Linked DNA regions of Xenopus tropicalis. The protein of the gene in region 2 purifies or fractionates together with the protein of the main gene of each other region. This does not show direct contact. Links are inferred from orthologs where the notes say so. Each region holds a gene or a part of one and is shown on either strand. Other genes may lie near its edges.

Region 1 (4,357 bases), on a different chromosome or scaffold from region 2:
GCCATCTTCCATAGAATCCATAACTTTAGAGTTGCTAAAACTATTGCTAATTAAATTCATTAACACTGAAACTGCCAGAACACAAGAAGAGTGTTGAGACATCTGGGGGAGGTGAAAATACGGGAGAATCTATGCTGAAAGACAAAACAAGACTAAATACCATTTTCTTTTATTGCAAACATAAGAAACTTTGTACTTTTTATTTTAGTACTTGTACCAAACATCTCCAAAATTATTGAAGGGTTACATATCCACTACCAATGAGTAAAAAGTGTCAAAACAATCTTCCATTTTTCACATCCCCTGATCCACATGAGGGAGAGAAAGAAAAGTTAGGATTCTTATAGAGAATTGCAGATAATTGAGGTAGAATTTTTAACATTTTAATATTGTAATTTGTTGAATTTATCACAAGTCATTCTCCCTTAAGATTGGTGAATGGCACATAAAGATGGAAACTAAACAGTGGCAGTGGGAAAGTATGGGGCAGAATTGTATGGTCTATCCTCCCTAGAGGGGATCTAAAGCCAAAAAATGAATTGATGTAAACTTTGCTTCTTTGAGCACTTCTGAAACTTACAAATCATTTAAGTGGTGAGAGTTCTGCCTCTTAAACTTATATAGTTATATCTAGTTTTTTTTTTTTAATGTTTTTAAGTTTAACCTTATTTGTCCTTTCACGATTTCTAATGTTTTAAAGCTCAACACTTTTGGGGATGTAGGGGTAGGGATTCCCATAAACATTCTTGATGCTTTCTTTCATTCTTAATGGTATGTACTAGTGCACCACTAATTTTCTTTGTCTGATCTAGAAAAGCTATACAGTGTACAAGTAAGGTACATTAGTTTGTAAAACAAAGACCCGCACACCTGTTTGAAATGGGTCTCTTTAATAAACAATTTGTAACCTGATATTTTAACAGATTTTCACATTTAACCTTTCAATGACAGCAGGCTGAGGCCAAATTTACTCTGCATATAAGTTCATGCAAAGTGAGCGGCGTCCCTGGTGCATAAATACACCTGTAGCTGTAAGCAGCCTCTTATGAGAGATGTATACATATTCCCTACGCATATGCCTGTTAAGTGTTAAAGACAGAAGGACAGACATTCAAAACTTTTACTAGGAAAGGAAGATAGAGGTATACAAATGAATGTTTCAGGCATATGAACCATGCAGTTTCTAATCTTAATTGGCATGAAATGCAACAGCAGCGAATTCCATGTCAGGAAAGCGAATTGTAAACAATAGACTTGTAAGAAGAGATAATTTCTCCAGGCATTAAAACGAGGACTGTTCCTGGACGTAGGCATCATTTAAGGCGTAAGCACTGAGAAGTCTATGTTCAGAATTCAGGATCGCCTTTCATTTGTTTTTCTCGTGATTCTACCCAAGCTTTATTAAGTGTTCTCTTCATGTCATCATCTCCATCATCATATATCTTCTTTAAGACATTCATTAATCCTGCACTTGGGTCTCCATCTGTGTCTAGTGCTGGTTTCCTAAAAAAAAAAAAAAAAGATTTAAATTATGTTACACTGAACTTAAAATACAAAAACATGACAATGAACACCAAATATAAAAAATAAGTGATCAAAATAATCTTCAAAATAACTTAGATCCATTGTACAATAAAAATCAGAGCTGTGGAGTTGGAAGCAAATTTGGGTAACTGGTTTTGGAGTCAGAAAAAAAATTGTAATGGAAAAAAATACAGTATGTTACAATATCCTATTTCACAGATAAGTCATAATACAGTACGTCTGTGCATAGTTGTTTCACTAGTGTGAAGTCCAGCTGAGCTATTATAACATTACTGTTTTAATTTTTTGTGTTTTGTTTAAACTTTAGGTTTAAGGAATGTTTGTAGTTTCTTTAATAAATAAAATAAAAAGCTACATTCAGATTTTAGTCTTCTACTGCCGAATGATATTGATCATACGCTTAAATGCAACTATCAAAAACTAATATTCAGTATGAAATTGTAGGATAAAGTCCTAAAAATAACAAATCGGAGGATGTTCTGCACATGAAATAGTTGGCAGACACAAATCGTGCAAAAGTGACTTCCTGCAAATGCACATAATACATGCGCAGATATTATCTGCCTGAAATTTTCTAACCTGTCCAACCACACACAGTCCAAAAATTGTATGAAACTATAGGGTTGATTTACTAAAGTGCGATAACGCTTATTGGATGGTTTTTTGCGTTAAAATTGACGGTCAAAAAAACGCGCATTATCGCATGCGTTAAGTTGCATATCGCGTGCGTTAAATAGTGCACAACCAAACGCGTTAATTTTACCGCATTGCATTAATTAGCGCGCAGAAATAATACTAATGCATGATTCACAAACACTTAGGGGCTGATTTACTTACCCACGAACGGGTCGAATGGAGTCCGATTGCGTTTTTTTCGTAATGATCGGTATTTTGCGATTTTTTTGTATGTTTTGCGATTTTTTCGGATTCTTTACGAATTTTTCGTTACCAATACGATTTTTGCGTAAAAACGCGAGTTTTCCTATCCATTACGAAAGTTGCGTAAAAAGTTGCGCATTTTTCGTAGCGTTAAAACTTACGCGAAAAGTTGCGCATTTTTCGTAGCGTTAAGTTTTAACGCTACGAAAAATGCGCAACTTTCCACGTAAGTTTTAACGCTACGAAAAATGCGCAACTTTTTACGCAACTTTCGTAATGGATACGAAAAACTCGCGTTTTTACGCAAAAATCGTATTGGTAACGAAAAATTCGTACAGAATCCGAAAAAATCGCAAAACATACGAAAAAGTCGCAAAATGTTCGTTTTCAAGTCGGAACTTTTCCAATTCGGGTCGGATTCGTGGGTTAGTAAATCAGCCCCTTAGGGGCAGATTTACTAATCCACAAATTCGAATCCCGAATGGGAAAAATTTGGATTGGAAATGAAAATTTAGTCACGATAATATCGTATTGGCGATCCGAAAGTCACAAAATTTACGCACCGAACCATTGTAAACAGCGGTAAAGCCTGTTTATTTCGCGCAAGCGTACGAAAAAGTTGTGCGGACGCCCGAAAAATTCGGCAAAAATATGCTCGGAGCGTTTGAATGAACGCTCCGAGCGTTCATGCTTTTGTAAATGTGCCCCTTAGACGCGCTAAATATCGCATTAGTCTATGGGAAAATTAACACCTACTTGGGGCAGGCGGTAATTATGTGTTGGCCCTAGAGTGATGCAGCCTCCAGTTTGCAGGGAAATGGTCATTTTCTAAAAAGTAGTTTTACGAAAGTAATGGCGTGTATGGCTAGCGTTTTTTCGCACGATGACAATTTGTGCGTGTTGCGTCAAATACCGCACAAAAATAGTCTTCGTGACTTAACGCAAACAGCATCACGTCTAAATTAACGCAAGTATCCTTTTAGTGAATCATGCGTTAAGACGCGACAAAATTTTTAACGCATGCTATAAATAGCGCTCGTTTTAACGCACCTTAGTCAGCCCTTATGTTTCTTAAAATTATTTTGGTGCATGTATAGCCAGCTTTATAGATTTATACCTAAACTTGAACAGCAACCTCAATTATGTTGGCAGTGACAAGCTTGGATGGCCAATAGGATAGTGAGGCAGCTTCCTAGCCAGTAGTTCTTTGGTTTGTTCCCAAAAGCAGACACCATTTTCATATAGCTTTAATTGCTGACCTTTCACAGAGATGAAAATGCCTTATATGTTATGTATTTTCCATGCTGATTGAAAGAACATGAGTATATTAAAAACAGAGTCGTCGGAGGTACCATCATTTGAGGAGTGCTAGTTGAAGGAAATTAGCTTCCAGCATGAACACGTGATAAAAACTGAATTTATCTGTAAACGATCCAAGAATCGTAAAGATACTTACTCTCTTTCCTTTGTTTGTTTCTCGACTTGTGTTAGGAATTCCCATTTATTCTCAGATTTCTTTCTGCACATTATCAGCACTGTGTCTGTCTTCACCTATATGAGAAGAATATTAAACAGTAGGAATTTTTTGAATGTATTCAGAACATATTTTGCATCCAATGAGATTACTGCACTGCAAGGCATTATGTAGGGACTCATTTTGCAGCTTCTGTATGCCCACAAGATGTGTTTGGGATTAAAACTGATTACAGGAGACTACAACACACACTTTCATATGAGCCACAAACTTGTATATACTTGGTGATATGCTTCAATGCACCAGATCAGATGTTGGCCTGATGGGTCTACAAAAGTGCTCAGGCCATACCAATGAAAATCCACAAAGGGGCTATTTTAAAAGCTTTTTTTTGAAAATGTACCTTTTTAGTTAGTGATAAGCCTAGTTTCTGGATGACAAATCTATTCTGTCATTAAT
Region 2 (4,909 bases):
ATATACCTGAGCTTCTTCCTCCTCAGTAAAGTCGTTTTTGATGTTGAAGGTCTTTCGAATTTCTTCTGGCGTTTTTCCTTTAATCATGTTTGCAACTGTCTTGCAGGTGACATCAAGCAATCCTTTGATATCCAAATAGTTGGCAGCCTGAAGATAAAAAAAAAAAAAAAAAAAAGCAAAATCAAACCAGCCCCCAATTTTTTTTTGACCAGCAAGAACTCAAACCCACCCCTGATTTGCTCACACTCCCTTGTATTTGATATGGTACCAATAGACTGCAGAAAAGCTTATGAATTGGCTTAGAAGCAATATATGTTTATGACAATGACACAAAAGTTATGCAGCTCAATCAGTGCCACCAAGAATGTAGCATCCTTTAGGAGGAACTGGACAAACTGGGAGACTGGCCTGCTAAGTGGCATTCCAAAATATGCAAGGAGCTGGGGTGACTTGTGGAAAATAAACTTAGCTTTAGCAAGCAATGCCAGTCAGCGGAAGGAAGAGCCAGCAAGGTATACAGACTCAGAGGGGAAGTACATATTCCCACTTTAGAAAACACTGGCAAAGGCCCCATCTAGAATATGCAGTGCAGTATTGGTCTCAAATCCTTAAATGGATATTAATGAAATAGTAGCTCTTTTTGGACTCGCTCTAAATTAATGAAGGGTATTTTATGAGGAAAAGTTATCATACGTGCTTTAAGTGGCGTATAAGCACTACATATGAATATGCAAGTGTAATTTATGTATATAGGATTGAGATGAAAAAAAAAAAAATAGTTTCAGCCATTTTCAGTTTGGAAGTTAAATCTATGCTGACTGAGGAATATATGGACATGTGTATGTAAATTTTTAAAAATCTTTTATGAATTAGTGTATAAATTTCTAGTAACTGTTGTGTTATGTGTTAACAAGTAAAATGGCAGCCACGTTTTAATGTATGAATAAAATTATGTGTGTTAAAACTATATTGCTCAGAAGCAACATGCAGATGCCATGTGGATGCCTTTATTGAAGCCACTAAGGACAAAATTATGCACAACGTTTCATATATGTGGGCTCACCCTTACCTCTCAAGTGCAGGAGAACAAGCACACTTTGTTGGAACATGTTAATGGCAAGGTTTTTAAATATCAACTCTCCTACCTCTTTCGGACAAAAACACAAATAATTACTGGCTGTGTTGTGTGTGCACTACCTTCAGGCTGTGTTGTGTGTGCAATACCTTCAGACTGTGTGGTACTTTAAGTTGCAGGTTCCCTTTAAGGTTATTAATACTACTAAGTACAAGTACTAGAAATACACTTATGTAATTCTAATGGGTTCTATAAAAGCTGTTGGGTTTTTTGGTGAGCATGCCTCACCAAAATCAGTTCAAATAGTGTTCCCTGATCCACTTTTAAAAACTCTTGGTCCCACACAGGGATATCATCTGTTCTCTTCTCTTTGTTTTCATCGTCTTCGGGTGGAGGGGGATCATCTTTATGATGTGTACACCACTGAATGACCTGATGAAAATAAAAGTACATAGGTATTTATCTTTATGATTTATACAACTGACTGCATTTGTTGGCCAGGTCCTGAATCCAAGACAATGTGGTACTGCTAAACTTAAGATATGTTCAATTTCATCATTTTGTTGTTTATATGTTAATATAATTCAAGCTAGTAAAAAAAAAAAAAAAAAAAAAAGTAAATCTTGTAACAACCTACACTTGAAGAGCTAAACCAAAAATAGGAGCAATGTCCTCTACTGCCTGAATTAGAGAGCAAGTGTTTCTAGGTCTGAAACAGTATACATCATAACTCAAGAATATGAAACCCCAAACAGCAGGATGAAGTTCCTAATAACCAATAGTTCAGTTTTATTTTTTTACTTGCCAATATGCCTTAAAACCCTGGCATTTATAAGTAGTTCTTCTTCTGGCAGTGATAAGCAAATATAAATAATGTGTGTGTGTGTGTGTGTGTAGGGGGGGGGGAGGCTGTTGCAACTTTTTAATTAACACAATTCTGAATCTGGTACAATTTTTTTGTCCTAATTACATTGCATTATATCCCTGCAGCAAACCAACACCTCTAAAAAAAAAAAAAACAATCTCTAATCTGCATCCAGTATTCTAGTATGGGTATACGTAAAACCACTACCTAAATAGCACTTACTTTTTTAAGGATTGCAGCATTAACATTGGGAAGTGGCACAGGGTCATCATCACCTTCATCATCCATACCCAGATCTGTTTAAAAACATTTAATTGATAACTGTGTCTTGCCAAAAAAATGTAAAAAAAAACCCAAGATAATTTAGACAGAAAGGCAATGTTCTAAAACTATAGTCAAATAAGAGATTTCTCAAGAATTTACACAAAATAAATTTAAACACAACAGAAATATTACAACCAGTTCCTCTGAGGACAATTTTTTTTCAGCAAGACTGCTACTTATTTGTTATATTGGGATCACTGCTGTTATGAGTAGTTTGAAACGCTGTGTACCTGTTATGTAGTGAACAGCACCAAAACTTTTTTTTTTTTTAATAAAAAGCCCTTATTCCATCATTTCCAAATCCTGGATTGTACAAACAATGTTTTCTAAAGTACCCTGTGTACCTGTCTCTTATCAGTGTAAAAGGAGCTACTACCTAAAAAGATAATCCTCCACAAACCCAAGAAATTTCCCAATTTGAAAGTGGATGACAAAATGATTGGAATTACCCCTGACATTTCAATTGCAAATGTCTGTTCACCCAGGTGCACTCAAAGGTCATGCAAATGCTACATAGAAGAAAAATTCCCAGCAATATTGTTTCTGTAAAGGGATTGCTTTTGGAGAGAATCCACTCAATTGCCCAATGTGCCTTTACACCAACACTTTCAAAGCTAGGAGAATAAAAACAAATGAAGACCTGCACACCAGAGGACAAAATTATAAAGAATACATATTCAAAGAATTTTTTTTTAAAAAGTACCTTCCAACATAGTTTTAATTGTTACTGACTGCTTTGCAATTTCAACATCCACTTCAAAAATCTCTCCATCAGAACTCTGCAGCTTTATAGAAGGCATCTGAAAAACAAAAACACATTAATCAACACAAACAGTACTGCTTAGTGAAGTTACTGCAAGCAAAACAGAAAGAAAATCAATTGGTACTTTCAATGAGAGATGATCAGGAAGGCAGCTGTGAAACTCAAGATGCTGCACTGAAGCACATTTAAGCATGGTGAGCAGGAGAGACATGGGAACAAAATGGCAGCAAGCACAGCAAGTGCACTGCAGGCCATTGTAGGCAAGTAGAATCACAGAGTGGCTAACATGGCAACCACCCCCCCAGTGACTATACCTTTCCTTCTGCTTTAATGAAATGCAAACATCATGTTTCATGCCCTGGTTGTCAGTAAGGCAGGGCCAATAAAAATAATCATCTATACAACAGCCCTGGTGCCTGGTTGCTTCAGTCTCTGCCCAAGACCCACACCAACTGTGCAATATACAGTGGTCTGGCACGGCCTAATGAGCAAAGGGAAGAAGCTGCAGCTAGTAGGAATAAGAAGGGGCCTGCCAACTGTTGCCAGCACCCTGCCCTCCACTACCAGGAAGAGAATAAGGAGCTAAAAGCTTTGGGTCTCATCCGGAATGTGCAATTACCGGTACTCTGCAATTTTCAGAGAGCTGTGCAGGAATTGGGAAAATGCACTAAATTCTAACAGCTGTCAACCTGGCACTGCTCCTTTAACAGCCGACTGCAAATGGCTGGACAGCTGGAGATGGATGAACCCTTGTTAACACTGGCCACCATTAGTGTGCACGCAGTACACAAAGGGAAAGTGTCTCTGGCATATATGATGTGGGAAAGACTTACTGAGCAGGTATAACTATGGAAGCAGAACAAAGTAATTACCAACAAAGGGTGTCATTTTACTGCTGCAGTATGACTTTGCCAATAGCAGCCAGGATAATGGCAATTGCCAAGCTCCAAATCTGCATTAGAGGCCATTTGCCCATCCTGCCCAGAAAAAGAATCTGTACATCAATAGTTGACATACAGCCAATTACAGAGAGGACATTTGCTATCCCTGAGCCATGCTTTTCACTCAGCCTCATTTTAAACAAAGGCTTTATGAATTAAAATAACAGAAGTTTGGCCTAGACAGCAACATACAGAGCAGAGTGACTAACAGCACAAGGCAATAGGAATTACCATATTCTGTTAAAAAGAGGACTGGTTATTAAATATCTTAGAGGGGACAGAGTGTACTTGAAATCTTAATTGTGTAGTTAAGCACATTTTTAATCTTACAGGTATGGGATCTAGATTAAGGAGACTCATTATCAAGAAAGCTTTTGGAAATGCCATTTTATTATTGTTTGACCAATTTCCTTTTGCTCTATAATAGTGGATATTTCAAAACGGTGACTGATCCCCTACAAGTTCCATGTGAGAGTCCACTGTGCCCAGGTAAACAAATATACTGTTTAATTTATTATAACAAATATAATGGTTTATAAGGAGTGGGTCCAGCCTACATGGACTTGTCAGACGAGAATGGCATCAAAGTGACAATGCAGTCTTTGCCATGTAGGATTTTCAACCCTGCCGAATATATATCTAATTTTGTTTGGGTATGGATGGGCTGGGTCAGCAGGTGTTAAGACAATAGTTGACTGAAAAGTTTTTCATATACTTTTTCAGGCACTCTACATATTGTAGCCTTCACCATTCCCAGCTACAGTCTGTTGATCTCAATGGTGGCCAATAAAAAGTGCAACAATTTTTTTGCACTAAAAGGAAGTAAACTGCAGGTAAAAATCAGTCCCTGCGTACTAATGTATAATGAAGCAGTAAAATACTTAATAAATAATATAAAAGTCAGTACGGGAATTAAATTTGGCATAGTTGGCCAGCTTTCA
Region 3 (4,357 bases), on a different chromosome or scaffold from region 2:
CAGAGTCTCAATGGTCTGTCAATACCACAGGATCTCTTTAGGGGGGAGCCTGGGGGATGCAAATGCCCCTTAGTGTTCATTATGCAAGCACTTGCACCCCACCTGCGCACTGCGGATAGCAAATCATAATCATAATCAGCATAATTGTGACTACACACACCATGAAGCCCCAGCACTATCATACAGACTGTTAGAGACCACACAATCCACTAAGAAGTGCTCCTGACTCTCCTCCTCCCCACACTCCCAACTCACTGTGTGTAAAATACTCCATATTGCCCCTGACTAACAGTTTACCTCGCAGAGACAGCCAGGAGTTATCAAAGTACTTCCCCGGTAACCTTGTACCACTCAGATACCCGAAAACCTGCTGCTGAGTGTTGTTGAGACAATCTCTGTCAACGGGATCATGAAAAGACTTTACAGTATATCTTCTTCATTGGCACTGAGGCAACCTCCTCTGCCCCAATACCCCATCGCCTCAGCAGCTTAATACCCTGAGCAATGTGTGATGGGAAATATCTTTGCCTCATTTGAACCACCTTCACCCTACCGCCCTGTAACCAGCCTGTTAATAAAAGACAATGCCCAGGACTTGATACAACATTCCCACAGCATATTTGTTTTTTGGCAAACAAATTGTGGCTGTCAACCACACTCAGCCGACCTTAGTTTTTCTATAATCAGATACCATCTTATGCCAAATTAGCCTCATAATTGTCATATATTCTAAATATATTTAGTGGTGAGCAGAACTTTCGTTTCAGCTATTTGGTGGCAATGACAAACGTGCAACCCTTAGTGAAAATAAAGTAAGAGCGATACCAGAGAGTAAAGCACTGATCCGCTATAAAAATTATAATATGGGGGGAATAAATGTTGCTAAAACTTTACCCCCTGTTACAGTGTCATTAATTGTGTTATATTCTACATATTGCTGGCCCCCAACTTTATATTCATGTACAACCCACCATTCCATAGAGCTATGAGCTACATAAGAAGGCTGCAATAACATCCCCTCTGTAAGCTGTTTCTCATTAATGGCCGACTTGGAGAATGGGCTCTGCAGCTGCCAAAGAAAGAGCCACATTGACAACATACAATAAGCGCATTCTTAGCAATGGAAAAAGTACCGGCTGCCATAAACAGACATTTACCAAAGTAATGTACATATTTATTCTGTAGAAAGATCCTTAGAAAAGCTCCTGTGGCTACTGCACAGCAAGGGAATATATGCAAGCACTACATGGAGGCACACTGAATTGTGCATGTCCTGTATTGCCAAAGTATTGCATTGTAAATTGTGCATGCCCTGTATTGCAGCAGGTCCCTATGCTCTGTTTCAGGGTGCAGAGCCCTGTGTCTCCCCCCACAGATACAGTGCTTATTGCATTAGTCAGAGTTGTATTGGTGATGGGTGGGAGGCACTTGGGTGTCATTCAGATGAACACGTTAATGCGGCACAAGGCGAAAATCACACTTTGCCCTTCTCTAACACTTGCACCACAGGGAATAAAAAAATTACCCCTAGAGTCTTCCTAAAGTATGGAACTCCAGATATCTTGTTAATACAGTCAAGTATTTTGCTTTTCTTTGAATATTTTTATTTCAAGCATCACATCCTCGTATTGTTCTCTTTATCCTATTATACCCTGTGCTTGCTGGAGCCGGTGCTGCAATCAGTTTCTGGCACAGAGCTCACTGGGCATGGATCTAGGAAAGAAAGGGAATTGCTGTGACAATGGCACACATGGATCTAGGAAAATTGGTGCTGAGCTTTCAGAAAATATTTTCACTGCCATGTTGTCACTATATCTTTTCCAGAGACCAAACAACCAATGAGATTCCTGAGGAACAGAGCAGTGCAACCATGGGGAGACATACCTCTCTACACCTACACACCACACCCTAAGCAGTTAGGGAGGCAATGCTACATCAAGCATTTTAATTACATGTTTAGATTCTAATTTAGGATACAACATTACCTGAATATACAGCAGCAAAACGTCTCTCGCATTCAGTCATGCGAGTGTCATGTGACAAACACGGGAATCATTTATTGTTCTTAATTGTGTCAGTAGCCACATAAAGAGTAACTCATCCATCTGGTTTCCTTGTGTGCAACCAGAGCAACTTTGTCATGATGGGTTGAATCCTGGTAATATCAGCATTGAGTTACATGGCTACACCTTGCAGCTAATAACATGGGCTGGCTTCTTATGTAGTCTGGCCCACTCACAGTTTAGACTGTTACCCTAGCTGCTCCCCTAACATTCAGAGCCAAAGGCAATGACAATCGCAAGAAAGCCACTAATATGCATGATGACTCAACAGGTCTAAAGGGCTGATTTTTTGTGAAGGTCCAGTTACTCTGCTGTTTTTGCCTTGGGGGTCACTAGCTGCCATGGTGTCATCCCTTCTGGATAATACTGACACACATACATATCATTGCCTTGAACTGGGGTTCATCAGCCAACAGAGCTGACAGATGGCAAGCACCTTAACATTCCTAAGGAATTTGTTTGATCTTTATGGGCTAATAGTGGCCATGCACTATTAGATCTGTGTGTTTGCCGAGGTCGCTAAATGAGGGGATCTTTCTCCTAAGGTGGGCAATATTAGGCCACTTTTCTAAGGCCTGCATTACAATAAAGGAACTACAAGCCATCAGAGCAAGGAGCGCATGAACAAGCTGATGAATTTCGAAAATCAAACCTGCCCTGACACCTGGATGATTTTTGCCCAGATATCGGGTCGGGTAGGTCAGTCGGGAGGGCCCCATACAAGAGCAGATAAGCTATAAGCTACCAAGACAGTCTGAAGGACCCAAATTGGCAGATTAAATTGGCACTTATTAAACCTGTAGCCCTAACAGCTGAATTGCACAGGGGCAAAAGTGTCAGAGACACTAACTAGAAATCACTGCTGTGCATCCTAGCTCTAGAATGTACCCGCTGTATATATTTATATTATCACCATATCTCCTGCTTACCTTGCAGCGTTGGGTCATCCACGAAGTCCTGGTGCGACTCTTTAACCTCCCCTGGTCTAGCATCACGAAATTCACTTCTAAGAGATATTTTCCAGTATCTCATAATGACCTGCAGAGAGGAATCAGATGGAATCGTTTCATTTGGTATCTCAGCACTACACTGCACACTTCTGTGTACCAAGCCTGATAGCAAGGGGAGCAGTCACATTGTTGTACAGATACGCATAATGACAAACCCCAATTTTAGGGCCAAAGAAACAAAAGTTTTTACATTTATAAAAATATAGCATGTTACCGGGGGCCTAGATTTGATTCCATGCAGGACCCCATCTGCAATGAGTTTGCATGTTCTCTCTATGCTTGCATGTATTTCTTTCAGGTATACTGGTTTCCTCCCACACTCTTAATACAGACAGGTTAATTGGCTCCTGATAAAACTGGCCATAGTGTATGTGAATTTAATAGGAATTTAGATGGTTAAGCCTCACTAGAATTGTCCCCAGTTTAAAGATTACCTTTTATTCATTAATTTCTGTTTTCTTAGGGCTGTCCATGGGAAGTGGGATAACAGTCCCTGAAGTTCCTTTCACTAATACCTGGCCATTACTTGTTCCCAGAGGAATTAGAAAGAAAATGTGTTTCCAGTATTTGTTTACATAGATTTCTATAAAAAACAAAGAAGGTAAATAAAAAAAAAAAAAAAAATAGGCCCAAAGTGTGAGTCGACAAATTACCAGCCCACTGAGAAGACCTCTTCATAAACAAACCCCCTTTAATCCACCAGCTGAAGCGTCTGTTAGACTTTGAGGCAAACAGGAGTTCATTATACAAGCCAGTTTGGCTGTCTGGCTCACAATACTGATATAACAACCAGGAAAAGAAAAGCAAATCTCACTGTTTATTTTGACATAGTAAAATTGTCTTTTTCCTGGAAATTTCTTAACATAACAATGCCAATGCAAGAATCTTGTACAACATTGCAAAGGGTTTGTCATCTCTATGGTTTATGGGGCTTACAGAGAAAACTAAAGCAAATTAATAAAGTGCTCAAAGTCAGAAATACGTTTCTCCCCGAGTTATAGTGTTCCACTTTACCATTCCTTTCCACTGCCTTTAATATTAAATTATCAAAGAACTACTGTGGGAGATCCCAGCCACAAAAAGGAGCTGGTGGCCATTGGATTCTCAGAGCATCAGATGATTTTTCCCATGTACACCTTTTAGCACACAACAAGTACATACATTTGCTTGGTCCACAGGTCAGCCTACCTTTAGAATTTTTCAGGGCCCTCATGAAGTGAAAGGATCCAAAGGATGTAAACAGAACCAATAAATAGAGTTGATGCAGTTCTTCGTGTCCCTATG
Region 4 (4,357 bases), on a different chromosome or scaffold from region 2:
ACCTTGTTCTAAGTTTCATTTAAAATGGGAGTTCTATCCATCAGAAATAACTTTATTGTCCTTTAGAACAAAGAAGGCAGCATGAAGCACACATCATAAAACATCCGTTACATTGACATCACACGCACCCTATCGTAAAGGGGGAAAAAACAATACTACAGGTGAAAATCTATATAAAGGTTGTGATCTTTTATCTACAAACCCTGAGCTTTTTCCCCTATATACTCGCTGTAGGTGAAAAAAGGCAAAATGCAAGAACAGATGTATCTTGCTAGGTAAGTGCTTTGTGCAACAAAGTTTTTTTTGTTATTTTTTTTCTTTTGTTTTTAAGTATAAATGTCTTTTCTTTAAAGGAGGAACATCGCCCCCTTTATTTCCAGTAACCATTACCCATATCCCAAATTCCAGTCATCATAACGTAGCTAATATAGCCTTGACTTCAATGGTTAGTGTCCAGATATATCCCAGAACTCTCCTGAAATGTCTGCTTGAAGTGTTGAAGCATTGGAAAAGTGTCATCTGGGGGACACTGTTGGACTTGAGAAAGTTCCTGAATTCCGTGAAGAATGGAAGGGAATTCCAGGTGAAGATGGAGACAGTTTTTTGGGGCTGCATAGGTCACCGTTGTGGAGTTTCCACAGAAGCTCTTCATTTTCCATTGACAGACGTTTGTTGGCTTTGGATTCTTTATCCAGTGATCGCTGCAGCACCTCCTGCTCAGTAGAAAGTTGCCTGTGGATGTATCAGAAGATCAGTGAGTTCCTTGTAGCAATATTTAGACATATAGTGCTATCTTTACCTTGCCCAGGCATACAGAGGAAGTTAAACAGAGCTGCTTCTATATCAATTTTTCGTTACAGCTGTCTTGTTTAAAAAGTACAGCTATCCTAAAGCAGGACTGGCAATGTGATGCTCTTCTGTTGGGCTCTAAGTGGAGTAACCCATGCCGTAACCTATGAAGTTAGACAAAGGGCCATATTTATATTAAGGCACCCAAGGGCCTGTTCTAGGGCAGCAGGTTTTGGGGGATGGCCCTCGGATGCATTTATATTAGTTTTTAAATTTTACATCACTACCGCAACGTAGGTGGTGACATAACGCGCATGATGTAGGGGTGTATTAGGGTCCAGTGGCAAGGGTGGCATTGGACCCAAATACAGCACATGTTTGATAAATATGCCTGTCTAAATATACAACAAACATTTCAATACATTGACTTTTCCCTTTGAGGGTACCTTTTTAATAGTTATGCTATGCCTTTTATGCCCAACTCCACCCCCCCCCCCCCATGCCTTTTGAGATAGTGTAGAACCTTAAGCTTAAGAAATTATCTTTCAGAGCTTCTGTTTTGGCTTGCTGGCCCTAACCCTTTAGAACAGTACAGCAATGTCAGTAGAGAGAGAGAGAGTGACTGCATGCTGAAATGTGGAAAGAGTCTCTTGGTCTGCTACCCAAGTTTCCCAAAATCAAATTTCTTAATAGGGCCTACTCCTTTCCATTGGGCAGTCTGTATTTTGAAGGGGTCTTGGCCATGTGCCATTTAATGTCTTTAAGCAGTGTTTGTATACCGACAACTTCCTAAGTGACATAATACATGTTTTGTGGAGGAGACTCTTTCCTCTCCAAATATAAAATTACCCACACTTGATAGCCTTTTGGTTATTGCGGAAAACCATCCTATCAATTCACATGCTGGACTGTTATCAACATCTATGATACAAATGACAAAATGCTATTTAAATGACCTGGATGCAATTCCATGCTTCCTACTTTTTGGGGAATCAATTGGGGGGGGGGGGGGGCTTTAGTACAATAATGCTCCTCACAGAAAGCAGGGTCCATACAGGATGGAGTTCCAGACATGCATAACACTTGACTGGCTTGATCAAAGCCATAAACTTAACCCTTCCGTATTCCTGTGGGATGCATTAGCTCAGTATGAGATGGGGGCCAATCTCACAAAATCAGTTATCAGCCTCATCAATAATCTTAAATGGTTAAATAAAAGCAAATCCCACCAACATCCAGTGGAAAGCCTTCCCATTACAGTAGAAGCAAACTGAGGACCAACTTCACAGGTATACCTTTGTAGATATCCCTTGTACATTCTCATGAAGAGCAAACTTTTTACTGTCTGTAAAAAGACGTGCTAGTTTGGTGGCCGCTGAGTGTACCTACTGACACAGAGTACATATTCACTTCTCAGTAATGTGCCCTATGAATTTCTCTTTGACATAAACCCAGAAAACAAAGAGGAATGGAAGCATTTGTTTATATTAGGAGAATAAGTTTACCGTGACAAAGCTACATGATTCGCCATTCGAGCTTTCAGATCCTCATTCTCTTGCTGGCATTTGTTCAGTTTTTCCACAAGGGTTGTATTGGTTTCCACCTTGACAAAAGAATAATCTATATTTAATGTCCACATTGAAAAGAAGCAATAGAAAAATATCTAGGTTTCACTATCAGAAATGATAATTGTGAATGCGTGAGCATGGATATCCTCAGTCATGTCAGAAATATACTTTTTTTTTTATACTGGGTGAGAAAAAACAAACAGTATTAATATAACATGTAACATTAATGTAACAATCTTCTAACACTAGGTACTGTATGTGGCCAAACAAATGCTTACACCTAGCTGTATTGCAAAAGAACGGAACATTTTGTAGATTGTAAGCTCTTTTGGGCAGGGCCCTCTTCACCTCTATCGGTTATTGATTGCTTTATATGTTACTCTGTATGTCCAATGTATGTAACCCACTTATTGTACAGCGCTGCGGAATATGTTGGAGCTTTATAAATAAATGTTAATGTAATGTAAAACATTAATCTTAAAACAGAATGCAGAACAGCATGTAGTAGAACCTTACACTGGAATGAGATGGTTTAAATGCAACATGAAACTCATATCAGAAGTTCCCAGCGAGAATAAAAAGCAAGCTAAGCAGCATTAGCAGAGTATGCTCCTAATGTAATGCACAAGCAGCCAATCACTGGAAGCCTACTAGAAAGATGTATCAGACACACACAAATTGGTTATTTCCTACCAACAGTGCTTGTTCCCATAACCATCTAATATTGCCACATAAAAGAATGCTATTAAAGGCATTAACTTTTTCTCTTTTATGAGAGCAAAAAAAACCTATAATTTTTAAGGTTTATAGACCATGAATATTTTACCTTTGTTTTTGCAATTATTTAGCCAGGAAAAACACTTGGTCTCCTCCATTCTCCCTTTGAAGTTTACCGAGATGAGGTGACCCAAACCCTGGGACCAGAGCCAGTTCTAATTGATAAGGTTTTTGAGGGCATTCAGCCAAATGTATGTGATGCAGGTGACTTGGTTAAACCACAAAGGCTGCTATTATTCCATATTCCTAAGCCAAATGTTGGAAAGCTTACCAGCTTCTCGATTTGCATGAGCTTCTTATCTTGTTGGTGTAACTTCTCATTTTTAATTTCTAACACTGCTTTTAGGCTCTCCAGCTCCTGCTCCAGGTACATGACCTGAGGATTCTTCTGTAAGGGAAGGAATAGTTCAGACACATCAATAACAATGCTAAACATGTCAAGCAGAGATTCAGTGCAAGCCCTGTACTGCTCCCGGCAGTAGGGTGTATGCTGGAATGCCCTCAGCACTGCAGTAATGTAATTAGATGATCGAGTGCCCCTGACAGCACAGTCTGAGCTCACACACTATGTATGAGTCACACTATGCGAGAGTTAAATCAACACCACAATTAACCTAATTTTACAATAATTGTAAATATATATATTAAAAAAATGAATTAGCACTCAGATCAGAACTAATCACAATTAAAAAGCTATAATGTAAAATAAACACTACTAATACAAATAATTTCTGCCCCTAGCTTGGTACAGGAGAGAAGGAACATGAAAAAGCTTAAAAAATGCACATCCCTCAGGGGTTAGAAATAATCAGCCACTTATTTATATGCCTCGCCCCCAACATGAAAGAATAATCTGCTGGCAGTGTTCCATAACCCACTGAACACCAAATGTTATTTCCCTTTCATTTCTATCTGGGTTGTATTAAACATTTTGCATTATTTGTATACATCATGCAATCGCAGTATATAGCATAAAATCAAAATATGTTTAACAAAATATTAGTGTTCTCGGGCACATATACTGCTGCCTGTTGATTGCTCACTGTTGGGGCACTATTAGTGACTGAAACACTTTTAAAGGGGAACTCTATACAAAAACAGATGTTTGCATAATGAAAAAAGCTGGAATTCTAGGCAATTTTTCAATATGCATTATTTATTCAGTTTTTGTTTTTCTTCTTCTAGTCTCTGGCTCTGCCTTCTGAAGCAGCGTAGTCAGTAAT
Region 5 (4,357 bases), on a different chromosome or scaffold from region 2:
GACACCCCGAACCCCTTACCCTTACAAAAAGCAGATTTCTCAATTGCTCGAGAATATTTCAGCATTATAGAGGGGGGAAAAAAATGTACATTGCTAAACATGTTCACCACCTAGTGGTAGACATGAGAATAGCACCCAATCCAAAGAAACCCTGTTTTGGTATTATGCAACTTGGGTCTTTTTGAGAGTACACTGAGCAGGGGATACAATAGCTCATCTAAAAGCAGTTCTATTGTGTAGCATTGTTTCCTTCAAAAAGTTCAGAAGCAGGCACAATGGCTGACTACATACCAAAATTACAACTAGAAAAATACAGAGTGAATTATCTGCTATGTAAACAGTGTAATTTAGAAATTAAAAGTCTATCATAAAAATCATGACAGAATCCCAATAACCTTCAAAAGGTTGTCTTGATTTACAAATGTACATCTTTTGATTTTAAGTTTTTTTTACACATACAACTTTGCTGAAGTTAGTAAATTGCATGGCAATCTTTAGGGGGTTAGTTGATGACTGCCTCTACAGAAAAAAATGGGTGGGACGATACTAGGGACATATTCTGTGACATGGTAAACTGTTATAAGGTTGTTATATCTCTGAGCTTGTACCACTAGCCAGAAAATAAAAGCTAAATAAGGAATTCATTGAATCCAGGATCTGGAATTCCGCCTTTTTGCAGCAGGATTTGGATTCGGCCAAATCAAAGTGTCTGGCTGAAGTGAAATAGAATCCTTAAAATCACGAGGTTTTTGTCAAGTAAAATTACATTTATTTCTGGAAACTAAATTTTATTCATTTAGAATTCAAAAACTGTAATGTTTTATTCAACCTTGGTACATACAAGTTTTTCGTATCACCATCAGGAGACCAGGTATAGTTAATTTTGAATTCAATGTCTGGCACAAGCTGCATTGCTTGACGGTAAAACTTGATAGCTGTAAAAATATCAAAAAGGGTAAAAGATTTTAGGATTGCACAAACAGAAGTCTCAAATATGAGTAACTAAAAATAAAGTTAAGAAAACCAACTTAGAATACAGGCCTAAGTTCTGTTGCTGACCAGACACACTTGATTCCATATTTGTAGTGTCAGACAATACTGATATTTGTGTTACATAGTTCAGTTGGGTTGAAAAAAGACCAAAGTCCATCAAGTTCAACCCCTCCAAACAAACCCTAGTGCATACACAAACACACTTATACTGACCTATCTATATACAGGTATAGAACCGGTTATCCAGAATGCTTGGGACCTGGGGGATTCCGGATAAGGGGGCCTTTCTGTAATTTGGATCTCCATACCTTAAGTCTACTAAAAAATAATTTACACATTACATAAACCCAATAGAATTGTTTTGCCTCCAATAAGGATCAATTATATGTTAGTTGGGATCAAGTACACGGTACTGTTTTATTATAACAGAGAATAAGGAAATCATGTTTAAATGAGTGATTTTATTAAAATTGAGTTTATGCGGAGATGGTCTTCCCATAATTTGGAATAATGGGTTTCAAGATAGTGGATCCTTTACCTGTACTCAGGCCTCAACAGGACCTTTCTCAAGGATGCAGTATTTTTTTTGTTTATAATAATATTGGATGTGCACCCCGTGATATACATACTTTTTGCATTAGAGTGCAGACACTTCAAGGGCTGATTATATATATATATATATATATATATATATATATATATATATATATATATATATATATTATATATATATATATATATATATATATATATATATATATATATATTATATATTTACCAGTATCTATATTAATTGTAAATTTTTGTATCACAATAGCCTATGATATTATGCTTAGGAAATCATCCCAGCAACTCTTAATACAATCTGCCATCACATCATCACCAGGCAGGGAATTCCACAACCTCACTGTGAATAACTACCTACTCTGCTTTAAACTAAGGGTTGGTTTCTGGTGTGTCAATCATTTTTACCACTTTTATGGGGAAAAAAAAAAGAACACCTCCTATCTGTCTATAATGCCTTCTAATGTAAAGAATAATCTGGTCCCCTTGCAAACATCTTTTTTCAGAGAAAACCACAACCATAACATGCCTTCATAGTTTAAATCTTTCGTCCCCTTTAACAGTTTAGTTTGCAGAACTGCAAGGCTAATAGTTAAGACATTTAAAAAAAAAAAATCTTAGACTAAGCCCAGCTATAACTCTCTTAGGTTTATTTAAAGTGAACTACCCGATTAAGATAAGATGTAAAAAAGTAGCCAGTACCTTCATAAAGAGCTCCATTTTGTTCCTCTTCTGCTGCCTTAAGAAACAGTTCTCTTGCCTGATTAGGTTAACAAATAAAAAAACATTAATTTAAAGCTAAAGTCATAATCACAAAGGAATGAATTTTTTAGGACAGAAATTAGAAAACACATTTGCAGACAGCATTACAGCAATAGGGTAAGGGAGGGGGTAAATGCCAGTAAATTATCTACTTCACAAGGATATCACAAGTAGCTTTATTTCCGCCTTAGCTCAGTTTTTATGATTAAAATAATAGGCAAAAAGTATGTTCAGCACAAGCCCTATTAAATGAACTTATGTTGAACAAGGAAGTCTACTGTCCCTAATGTTTCCCTCCTTGGTTTTGCAGCTGAGGTGCATTATATTTAACGTGTTCTAAATAATTTGATATGAAGCACTTGGAACGCCATTGCAAAATGCCTATTTCTGCCTATAACTGCTTCCCATAGCAAACTAAAGGAAAGGCCATGCAGGATGCACATGGGGCAGTGGAAAAAAACGTTTGCTCAGGAATGCTTAGGTGAGCACTTCTAAGTGGAGATCACTTTTTAACTGCTGTGCTTCAGGCACAGTTTTTCCAATAGTTGTGAAAGACAGAGAAGGGCATATTTACCAATACTGGTTTCTGTTTGAATGCATGTATATGTGCTCACATCGCCCCATGTGACATTAGCATAAAAAAGGGTTAATGCATAGTCACTGTTTTGTGACTTGTGGCAATACTCAAGTGTCACAAGCAGAGAGTACACAAATGTCAGTTCATAGATGCAAAGGCAAAGGTGGAGCTAACAGACTCTGCTGTGACTATGCAGAAAGGGTCCTTGTGTGACAGGAGAAAGGAGGAGATTGGAAAAAGTTTCTTCGGTTTATCCTGCCTCTACTGAGGAGCACCTTAACCCCAGCTGCCCTAAACTGACAGGCAGGACAGTCCAGTAAACTATATTAAATTTACCTTCGCCTCTTTAGCCAATTCCTGCTTTGCTTTGGTTTCTGATACTTTTCCCACCGGCCCTCTAGCTGCTGCATTACAAGGCCGATTTTCAAGCCCTCCAGAGCTCAATCCTGGTGTGAGTTCAGACATCCAACGAGCTCTAAACATCTGCAGCTCTTCCTAAAAGACAGCATATTCTGCATGAAGTACCTGGAAAGTCTTATTTAAGCATAATTTGTACACTGTATACAGATTACTTGCTCTACCTTTAACTTAAAAATGTTTCAGAAATGAATAATGCAGAGCAGAATAGCAAAGTTCACTAACTCCATCATCATTTACCTGAAGATTTGTTTCTCCAGGTCTCCCATTTTCATTAGACATCAGGCTGTCAGTATAAGAATCCTCATCACCTTCCGCCTGTAAAAAAAAAAAAATCAAATGAATAAAAACTAATCAGATAAAACCCAAACAAAACACATTTCTCACCTAGATTTATCCACAGTATAATATTTAAACTCCTCTGACTGCCACCCATTGCAAAAAATGTAGGTTGGTTGGTTGGGATCCATTTAAACAACCTAATTACTACACTAGACATAATTTCACATTCAAAAATTTGATTTGCTGCATGGGAATCTCATAATAACAAGGAAATTTGCATGAATCAATCTAACATTCTACTAGAATCAAATACAGAAGGCAACAAGCCGGTAGTAAACCAAAATTAACTTAAATTAACAAAGCAGTTTAACTACCTCCATAGAGAGATCTAATTAGCCACTATACCATATGTTTAAGTGTGATATCCAAGAAATTTGTCAGCGGCCATAAAAATATTTTTGATGGCAACCTCAAACTTAAGTAAGTTAACCCCGCTTAAAATGAACACAGTGCTCTTCCCAGTCCCTTTAAGCTGGGTGCCTAGCCCAGCATTTTTTGTAAGCTGCCCATCTCTGCTCCAGCTTCAAGGTTTGCCCCAACCCTATCCAGGTCAGTTTTACAGAAGCTGATATGATTGTGAACTTTTGAAAATTCAGCATGCGATACAGTTGCAGAAGCACACAGTACAACTAGAGCTGCTGTAGAAAGTGTTATATTATATCAGAAATACAGGACTTTGAGGCTCAATTTAATTTTTCCACA
Region 6 (4,357 bases), about 18 Mb from region 2:
AAGCACAATTCTTTCAAGACAATCGCAAAAAGCAATGCATATTAACATTCAACATCCTCCATTTAATCAATGCTTGGAATTTCATAGATCACTATATTGTGCAGGTGTCACAACAACTGTATGTTAGCATTATCCTTTATTACACACATAATTTTAAACTCAAAGTAAAACAATTATGTTCAGTTTAGGAGTAATCAATACAAATCTTTCATTCTTGGCAATCCAGGCATTATCTTCCTTTTCTGCTTCTATGAATTTATCATTCTAATGTGTCCCTGAGACTTCGCACCCACACATCATTTACATTAAAAAAAAAACACTTATATAGAAAACAGCAAATGGATATTGAATCAATCATCTGTACTATTACCTTCTAAAGAAACCTTCCTAGTCAAACAAACACTGAGAATGTGGCAAGCCACCTGTTACTGAATCTTAACACAAGTCTGCCAGGCTTTAGCCAGTTTGCCAGGCTTCAGGATGTATGCGTTACTGATGAATACTGAAAAGGAGAGTTCACCTTTAAATTAACTTTTATTATGATGTATTGGTATGTATGTATCTATGTTTATTGGTATGTATCAAAATATGGAATTTTAAAGCAGATGTTATGTTTATTAGCTGTGGTGTTTATTTTTTTTCTCTTGTTATACAAATCTTCAGCTTGGAATTTAGTCTATTACCTAGTTGCCAGGGTTCCACTTACAATAGCAACCAGGCATTATTCTGAAAGACAACCTAGAAGATGCATAGTTACATAAAACAAATTAAATAAAAAGAAAATGTAACCAAATGCTTTAGTACAAATTTACTTTGCTGATAATTTCGTAACACTGGCCCTCTAGCTGGTGAGTAACTGGCTAGGGTGGATAAATACCAGACACGTGGCAACCTTAAGTCTAGCTGCAAATCTTTTTACTGCCTAAATCACATTAAAATTATTATTTTAAGGCAAATTGCCCCTTGATGTTTAAACTGCTTAAAGGCTTTTTGGCTTTGTTGTAATGTTGGTGAAAACCATATGGCTTTTATCCTGGTGCTTATGAAAACATTTGTGAATCTGTTAATCTGTGTTTAAATGGTTATCATTTTGCAACACAGTCACCAGATTCACCTCACAACAGCATTTTTAGACACCCAAAAGTGAGCTATTATTTTCTCTCCAAACTATTTATGAAGCCTACAAGATGCCCTCCTAGTTCAGTTGTTGTAAGAATAACCAAACAATACTGTTTTACAGTCTGTTAAGTCACCTACCTGGTGCATGGGCCGCAGATAAATGATACGGTTCCTCTCAGGGGGCATCCGGAGAATCTGATCCAATACTTGCTCCATATTCAGCTTTTTACATTGTGCATAATCAAACCGATTTACAATGTGAGCATTTTCTACCTTCAAGTGCTTCAATACACGACATCGTGTAGCTGAAAAACCAAACCTAGATATTAAAACAAGGGCATTTACAGCTCCGATAGCAGCACGCGCCGCTCTAAGGCTCAATTTTGCTTCTCACACTGCTACCCCAGGCCTCTGTACATACTGTTATGCTCCCAAAGGCTTTTATAAACAACATATAAGCCAGAAAGGGTTACTTCATTAAAAATAGTTTCCTTTAGTACTATATCATAGCTGACAAAGTGCTGGTTTAAACTATGATTTGGTGATGCAAAGGCTTACCAGCAGCGCACACTAGGTCAAACTGTGTTCAGCTGAGCACCTGGTACTTAGTTACCCACAACTGAATACTATTTCAGAGTAATAGCCAGGTGGTTATGGCTCTAATCAGTGTCCTGAATGTAACTTCAATGGGAATATACCACACCAGGGAAGAAAATGTAGTGGCTATTGAAGGTAAATAATCGATCCGCACAACTTAACCAGACATTTAAAGGGGACCTGTCACCCAAACATAAAAAGCTGTAAAATAAAAGCCCTTTTAAAATTAAACAAGAAACCCACATTCTTTTTATTTTATTAAAACATCCATACCTGTTATAGATTCATTAAGAAAAGTCAGCTGTCAATTATATATTGCCTGCCCTGCCCCTTATGGCACAGCAATTACATTCACTTTCATTTCTGCACTTCCTTAATGTCACTCCACTAATCAAATCCCCCTCACTGACTATTACCCCATCCTGTGTCTGTGCATCAGGTTTTCATTTCTGGCATGGGATAATGCAAAGCATCCTCAGTTTCCTCAAAATGGCGCCTGCCTTTATGCTCTAGTAGTGGATTCCATAAGACTGACAAGATTTACATAACTTATATAGAGTACAATGTAAATAAAGCTTATTTTCCCAACTAAATAGAACTTGGAATTATTTCACAGTCAAAGATCCCCTTTAAAAAAATTGCCCAACGTGGCGCCTTAGCCATGCAACTGTATTTAGTTTTAGGTGTAGTTCTTACACTATCACTTTGATTTGATAAATAATCTAAGCAAAGAAATAGGTCAAAATATCAGAATAAAGATGGACTTACCATGGATAAACATCATTTTAGGACAGTCCTTAAGAACTAAATCTGTGATTCCACAGTTGGTTAGTGTAATGCCCACCAAATTTTTTGATTTGAGGTTCAGCACCTGAATAAGAAAATACATTATAAAAAGAAGTATTTATATTACTTGGAGATTGAGAAAACCTTATTTTGACATCACATAAAGCATAAACACAATAACATGTCAGTGTTTATCCCAATCAAAAAATGGTCCGATAGCCTATTTAAAGGAAAACTATACCCCCGGACAACAAAGGTCTCTATAAAACTATACTTTTGTAGTAGTATGTGCCATTGCGTACTCCTAAATGAAACGATTCACGGTGCACACAAACAAGCCGAGGCAAACATACATGCTAAACCTCATCAGCCAATTAACGGACTATCTTTTACCCCCACTTCTTCCTGTTACAGTTAGAGCTGCATTACTTCCTGTCAGGTGACCTCTAAAGGAGCACACAGACCATCACAAAATGGTGGCTCAAGGTAGAAGATGTCAAAGGTCACTTAATATGATATAAACTATCTGTTGGTTAAGTATTCATACTGGGTGTATAGGTTTCCTTTAAATAAAATAACATGGTGGTTCAATGCGATACACCTAAGTAAAAATTTAGCTGCATCTGTGGCTCAGACAGAGTGATAATGATGTATGAAAGCCAGCATTAATAAAAATATAGCATTCACTTTCAAAGTGGGGAACTCAGCAGCACCAACCATTCCACTGATACGAGTTAATTTTACTGCTATTCTCCTTTTAAACTATTTATATGGTCTACTTTGTATTTAAATCTATGCTCAGTAAACCACATGCAGAGGTTACGCAGCAGGGAGATCGTTATCTGTGTATTTAAATTAATCAATGTTAATAGTAGCAATCCTGCTGCTTTGTCTGCCAAGGTAATATGATCATGTTATTTACAGAGTTAAATTGATCAGTTGGTAGAATGGTTGACTATTTTATGTTTTTTGTTGCTTAGTTGCTTTGTGGATCAACAACTACACCAATTGTTATAAAGGTCCTGATAAAGGGGAACTGTCATTTTCATAAAAATATTCTAACTGTAGTGTGTTTTTATAAGTCTATTTCACGAGCAGACTTTTCCAATACTCTATTCTTTTGTAAGTTACCTCATCAACCTTTCATTTTTTTCCTGCTGCAAAAAAAAACTCAGTCTTGCTGTGAGTCCCAGAGCGTAAGCAGAAGCTACTGGTTGCACCATGTGAAAACTGTAAGGTTGATGGAGCATGATGCAATGAATGATTTTTCTGATTTCTCTGGTCTGTAGAAACTGTAAGAAAGAACTAGTTGTAAAGCAGATTTTTTTTAAACAACCACTGCAGTTTGCATTTGGTATAGTAACGACAGTTCCCACTTGAGGACAAATACTACTTATTGCTAACATAAATCTGCTTTTTTGGTTAACTAGTAAAATGTTTATGATGCATGCCCTTAAGTCATCAGAAAAATGCATGTGATGAATAATGAATGGCTATTTTACCTGTACATGGTCATCCTCAATAACAGGGTCGCTGGTGCTCGTGGATTTGTCTGCTGTACGCTTCCTTTTCACAGCTTTCTTGCTTTTCAGAGATGGAGACTCTAGAAACATACAGTTAATAAAAGAGTTTTAATAAAATATATAGGCAGGTTTGCTGGGTGCAGAGATGATTCCATCGTTCAGTGAATATCTGTACCACACCCCCACAATCCCTGCTCATTATAAAATGCAGTAAATACTGAAAGCAAGCGTTCAATGCATTTTTGGTGACAACCAATAATTCCTTGTTTATAGTTATAAGGCTAAAGATTTAAGATAACATTTAAATAATGTTTTGGGGCACATTTTTCCAT
Region 7 (4,789 bases), about 38 Mb from region 2:
TACGGGTGGGCGATATCGGGGAGCTAGAAGTTAAAAAAAAATAAATAATCCGATCGTTTGGTTCAGGGACCCCCGATCCGACTGAATCTTTTAACCTGGCCGATCGATATCTGGCCAATTTCAGGCCAGATATCGTTCAGCCAGTCCGCTCGTTTCTGCCCCTACAGGGGCAGATAAGCTGCCGAGTCGGTCCAAGGGACCGATATCGGCCCATGTATGGGGGCCTTTAGTAGCAGAAAAATTACAAACTGTTTAGAATACAATTACTTTAGTTCTTACACAGGAGGATAATCAGGAATCACTTTCAACAGACAATCCAATGATCCTACTGGATTTTAGTTGCTCTATCTGGATTGAAAACTACTACATTTCATTGTGTGCACTAAATATATTCACAGAATATTATGGGTTAAATGGAGGTGAATATGGACTGATCCTCCTCTTCCTGTGGGTATTTAAACACTTGTTTGTATTTGTACTAATAGGCTTAATAAAGGGCTGGATTGAAGCCCGAAACGTTGCCTTTGGAACTTGAGTAAAGATTCACATTTTTCAAAACAACTGGAGTGCTGCTGTTTTCATCATTTTTGAAAACTACTCCTGCTGTCACTTCTTAGCAAGCGGATAGCCAAACTAAATAATGGGGCAGTTGGTAGGTCAGCCAGTGTATAGGCACTGACACTGAAACAATGGAGCTTAATTTAAAAGTTTAAAACTATCAGATGCATTTCAACAATAAGGACACCTTTTTCTGAGAAACCAATAAATGTAACTGCCCTTTCCTTAATATCCCTTTTGCCAAAAGGGATATTTTGCCTTTTGACAAAGTCTATTTTTACCATCAGATAACAGCCCTAGCCACAGGGGAGATACCTCTGGCTTAAAGGAACAGTAACACCAAAAAATGCAAGAGCTTTAAAGTAATAAAAATATAATGCACTGTTGCCCTGCACTGGTAAAACTGGTGTGTTTGCTACAGTAACACTACTATAATTTATATAGTAAGCTGCTGTGTAGCCACGGGGGCAGCCATTCAAGCTGGAAAAAAGGCACAGGTTACATAGCAGATAACAGATAAAACACTATTGTATTCTACAGAACTTATCTGTTATCTGCTATGTGCTGGTGCCTTTTCTCCTTTGAATGGCTGCCCCCATGGCTACATAGCAGCTTATTTATATAAATTATAGTAGACTTTCTGAAGTAAACACACAACTTTTACCAGTGCAGGGCAGCAGCACATTATATTTTGGCTACTTTTATTCATTTTTTGGTGTTACTGTTCCTTTAAAGGAAAAGCATACCCCAGAACAATGTAGGTCTCTTTAAAAAAAAAAAAACCTAAGAGATTATATATATATATATATATATATATATATATATATATATAGTGAACCCAGGGTGGCACTCTGCTTCAGCTCTTAGCTCCGGTGCAAGGTAAATGATTTAAATATCCAAAAAAGACCAGCAGCACCGAGTTATATTCCAAAATCAATCAATTGTGGCTGTTTATGCGTTTTTAATACACAATTGTTTTTGGAATATAACTCGGTGTTGCTGGTCTTTTTTGGATATATAAATAAACTTAAACACAACCAGCACCAAGGGTCTTATAGTTCAAACAATCTCAAGTGTATTGCATGTATAACAGACACTTTCGAAAAAAGTCCGAAAAGGGACTGAAACGTTGGTTATACATGCAATACACTTGAGATTGTTTGAACTATAAGACCCTTGGTGCTGGTTGTGTTTTATTTTGTATTCTGTGCACAAGGGTGGCTATCTAATTGCATTTTGGAGTGAGGTGCTGTCGTGAGGACTTCTTATATATTTATTAAAAAAAACAGCTAACATATAAAACTCTACTTTATCTAAATAAACCATTTTTAGAAAAATAACCTTTTTTAGTAGTATGTGTCATTCCAAAATAGAAAACTGGAATTTTAAGTACTAAGGGCTACCACCACACCAGATTATATGATTTTCATGATTCATGGGGCACACATACATCATACCAGCCAATTAACAGAAGTTCTGTCTTTTACTACCACACTACTTCCTGTTAAAGTTAGAGATGCAATATTTTTGGCCAGGTGATCTCTGAGGGAGCACACAGACCATCACAAAACGGCAGCTTAAGGTAAAAGGGGTAATATTTACTGATATATATGCTCCAGATTGGAAATATTCTTAAATAGGCCACTTAAATACCCAACAAATACTTTTCATCATATTATTCTGAAGGTATAGTTTTCCTTGTGTCAGGACAACTGAAAGTGATGCTGTTTTTTATTATGTGGTGTTATGTAGGAAAAGCATCTTGTTGCCGTTTCACTAAATATTTTTGTCTTTGCTGGAGAACTAAAGTAAAAATATAATTTTAATCTCTAACCTGCTGCCCTGCACTGGTGTTTGTCTTCATTAGAAAGCACACTGTCCCAGACTACTTGACAGTTGCCTCCATTTTCTTGCCTGTTTCCCAGCATCCGCTGCAGCTCCCTGGAAAGGGGTGATTACTGTACTGTATATGCACCCAACATAATTGGCACAGAGGATTGGGACTACACACTCTGCAGTCCAGTGCGTTTTCCAAAGACAGGGGTAGGGGCAGGGGTAACAGCATAGCCATTTGAATGACTTTAGTTCTCCTGTAATATGTCACAATTACAGGAGAACTAAAGTGATTCTGTAATATATCACAATTACTATACTTGCAGGGATTCGTTAACCATTTGTGCGCTGGTGTTTTGCTTGCAATGTGTTCACATCCGAGCTGTGTGTTTATGTTCCGTGCAGAAGGTGTGCTTGTTTGTTTCAGACAAACGGATGTGTTGTTATTGTGTAGCAGCAGCAGCAATGTTACTACAGGATAGGAAGTGCGGCATGTGAGGCAAGTGCGGTATTGTGAGAATTGTGAGGCAAGTGCGGTATTGTGGGGACTGGCTAAGAAGACAATGTCAGTAAGTGAGGAGGCTGTGCTGTTATTGTGTGGCGGGCTCGCTCACCGGGTAGAGGTTCCCTTGCGTACATCGCACATCAGGCACTTGAAGGCCTCGGCGCTGTTCTTAAAAGTGCACACGCTACAGTCCCAGTATCCTTCGTCTGATGAAGGCTTCGGCTGCCTCTTCGGCCTGGGGGAAGAGGAAATTGTTAGAGACAAGGGCATACACGCTGACAAGGCGGCCTGTTCCCCTAGCCCCGGCCTCGGGCGCTTCTAACACAGTGAAAAGGAGATTGCCTAGGCAATCCTCGCAGCCTCTCACCAGCTTCTACTTCCTTTTTTGCTTTAGCCGTGCTCTTACCTGGTCGGACTCTTCTTGTCTCCCATGCTGCTTCAGAGGAAGCTGAGCGCAGGCCGAGCGGGGAGAGAGCCCGGGCTATGAGGCGGGAGTGGGCGCCTACACCGACCGCGATCAACCGCAGCCAGCTGTCCACCGCAACACGTGACCTGGCGCGACCAATAACAGGCCGACAAAGCAATACCAGAGCCGCTTGGAAAACTAAAGCGACTTTGCTTGATGTATGTGCGGAGAAGAGGCCGTAAGGGGCTGCCTTATGGTCGGCATTACTATGGAAAAGAAAGCGCACATGAAAAAGTCCGAGCATAAAGGAAATCTGCCCGGGGATACAAGGAAATGCGCAGGGCAAATGTAGGCGCACGTAGCGTGTGATGGAGGAAGCGCTGGCAAACACCGCTGGTTGTCTCATAATCAACACAAACGACTGTAGCTGAAAGGACCGTGGCTCTTCTTCTGTCTCTACCTCAGTAATGGAGTTAAAGAATACTGAGCCAAAGCAATGCAAGGCTAAGGCAGCCGGGCCTCTCAGCTAAACAGCAAACTTAGAGGAGTTGTGTATCCGCATGTTTAACACAGACGCATTCAACGGGGCTTGTACTCAACATACTTTTCCCAGTTGTTTTAATTAAGCGATATTGTTGCCATGTATTACACAATAGGGCAATAACTAAACTAAAAGCAGTTTCACTTTACAACTTCCTGTGGTTCTCCTAAGCATCTGGTGAGGGTGGTGAATAAGTCAGTAAAAGAGAAAAATGCAGCTTTAAATCACTAGTCCCCCAATCAGAAAGCCTCACAGAAACTGTAGCTATTTGATTATGGGTGGGGGTTGTTTATACAATGCTCAATAGCTATAAACTTATTACAGGGGGAAGGAACTAAAGGTAAAATCATAATTATGATATGTGCCTAATAACAGAAAAATAAATATATGCTTTCAAGGGACATTATACAACATTGCTAAAAAGAACTTAAAATGTTTTGGGAGACATCAGAATAATAATGAGAAAAGGAATAATGGTAAGGTCTTAATAGGGGACCTGTCACCTTAAGAAATAATTCCAAATTCTTTTGTCTTATTTGAGCAAAATAAACTTTACATTTTCTTTCATTCATTCTTACAATTTACAGTCACAAGCACAGGCACAATTTTGTGGACATTTTTATTAAGGGAAACTTTGTATCACCTTTAAAATCTTGTGTATGTGCCAGAATTGGGGACCTGATGCCAATGCACAGACACAATTATAGACAGTTATTTGAAAGGGAAAATGTGAGGAGGGCATTGACATTGGAATTGGCATTGATTTGGGAGTACAGAATGGAAAGTAAAAGTGATTTTGTCAGATTATATATTTTGTAAAATACCATCACTTTAATAACTGTAATGGCGCTTCTGCAATATACCAATCATCTCTGTGCATGATAGGTTTTAAAGTTATTTGTAAATGTTATTGCAATTGAAATATTTGTTTGTTGAACTTTTTCTT

Evidence for each region.
Region 1: the proteins of skp1 (region 2) and cacybp purify together in Homo sapiens (affinity purification with western blotting; 6 studies listed by BioGRID, with this or other methods). This does not show direct contact. The link is inferred for Xenopus tropicalis from reciprocal best matches to the Homo sapiens genes SKP1 and CACYBP.
Region 3: the proteins of skp1 (region 2) and fbxo36 purify together in Homo sapiens (affinity purification with mass spectrometry; 3 studies listed by BioGRID and IntAct, with this or other methods). This does not show direct contact. The link is inferred for Xenopus tropicalis from reciprocal best matches to the Homo sapiens genes SKP1 and FBXO36.
Region 4: the proteins of skp1 (region 2) and mtus1 purify together in Homo sapiens (affinity purification with mass spectrometry; 3 studies listed by BioGRID and IntAct, with this or other methods). This does not show direct contact. The link is inferred for Xenopus tropicalis from reciprocal best matches to the Homo sapiens genes SKP1 and MTUS1.
Region 5: the proteins of skp1 (region 2) and fbxo9 purify together in Homo sapiens (co-immunoprecipitation; 9 studies listed by BioGRID and IntAct, with this or other methods). This does not show direct contact. The link is inferred for Xenopus tropicalis from reciprocal best matches to the Homo sapiens genes SKP1 and FBXO9.
Region 6: the proteins of skp1 (region 2) and fbxo38 purify together in Homo sapiens (affinity purification with mass spectrometry; 6 studies listed by BioGRID and IntAct, with this or other methods). This does not show direct contact. The link is inferred for Xenopus tropicalis from reciprocal best matches to the Homo sapiens genes SKP1 and FBXO38.
Region 7: the proteins of skp1 (region 2) and yaf2 purify together in Homo sapiens (affinity purification with mass spectrometry; 3 studies listed by BioGRID and IntAct, with this or other methods). This does not show direct contact. The link is inferred for Xenopus tropicalis from reciprocal best matches to the Homo sapiens genes SKP1 and YAF2.

What each region holds. Positions count from the first base shown.
Region 1 is NC_030680.2:98,121,543-98,125,899, reverse strand, and holds the end of cacybp (calcyclin-binding protein), read right to left. Parts: intron 3,976-4,357; coding exon 3,881-3,975; intron 1,504-3,880; coding exon 1,347-1,503; 3' UTR 878-1,346; downstream 1-877. UniProt on the Homo sapiens protein: May be involved in calcium-dependent ubiquitination and subsequent proteasomal degradation of target proteins. Probably serves as a molecular bridge in ubiquitin E3 complexes. Participates in the ubiquitin-mediated degradation of beta-catenin (CTNNB1).
Region 2 is NC_030679.2:26,567,044-26,571,952, reverse strand, and holds the start of skp1 (S-phase kinase-associated protein 1), read right to left. Parts: upstream 3,067-4,909; 5' UTR 3,065-3,066; coding exon 2,968-3,064; intron 2,237-2,967; coding exon 2,163-2,236; intron 1,508-2,162; coding exon 1,364-1,507; intron 148-1,363; coding exon 7-147; intron 1-6. UniProt on the Homo sapiens protein: Essential component of the SCF (SKP1-CUL1-F-box protein) ubiquitin ligase complex, which mediates the ubiquitination of proteins involved in cell cycle progression, signal transduction and transcription.
Region 3 is NC_030681.2:129,211,366-129,215,722, reverse strand, and holds part of fbxo36 (F-box only protein 36), read right to left. Parts: intron 3,652-4,357; exon of another isoform or gene 3,508-3,651; intron 3,102-3,507; coding exon 2,993-3,101; intron 1-2,992. UniProt on the Homo sapiens protein: Substrate-recognition component of the SCF (SKP1-CUL1-F-box protein)-type E3 ubiquitin ligase complex.
Region 4 is NC_030677.2:42,488,077-42,492,433, forward strand, and holds part of mtus1 (microtubule-associated tumor suppressor 1), read right to left. Parts: intron 3,523-4,357; coding exon 3,406-3,522; intron 2,393-3,405; coding exon 2,295-2,392; intron 733-2,294; coding exon 516-732; 3' UTR 1-515. UniProt on the Homo sapiens protein: Cooperates with AGTR2 to inhibit ERK2 activation and cell proliferation. May be required for AGTR2 cell surface expression. Together with PTPN6, induces UBE2V2 expression upon angiotensin-II stimulation.
Region 5 is NC_030681.2:96,846,999-96,851,355, forward strand, and holds part of fbxo9 (F-box only protein 9), read right to left. Parts: intron 3,632-4,357; coding exon 3,554-3,631; intron 3,392-3,553; coding exon 3,233-3,391; intron 2,318-3,232; coding exon 2,260-2,317; intron 936-2,259; coding exon 842-935; intron 1-841.
Region 6 is NC_030679.2:44,521,401-44,525,757, forward strand, and holds part of fbxo38 (F-box only protein 38), read right to left. Parts: intron 4,106-4,357; coding exon 4,005-4,105; intron 3,795-4,004; coding exon of another isoform or gene 3,634-3,794; intron 2,588-3,633; coding exon 2,485-2,587; intron 1,425-2,484; coding exon 1,258-1,424; intron 1-1,257. UniProt on the Homo sapiens protein: Substrate recognition component of a SCF (SKP1-CUL1-F-box protein) E3 ubiquitin-protein ligase complex which mediates the ubiquitination and subsequent proteasomal degradation of PDCD1/PD-1, thereby regulating T-cells-mediated immunity.
Region 7 is NC_030679.2:64,862,270-64,867,058, reverse strand, and holds the start of yaf2 (YY1-associated factor 2), read right to left. Parts: upstream 3,424-4,789; 5' UTR 3,329-3,423; coding exon 3,303-3,328; intron 3,132-3,302; coding exon 3,006-3,131; intron 1-3,005. UniProt on the Homo sapiens protein: Binds to MYC and inhibits MYC-mediated transactivation. Also binds to MYCN and enhances MYCN-dependent transcriptional activation. Increases calpain 2-mediated proteolysis of YY1 in vitro.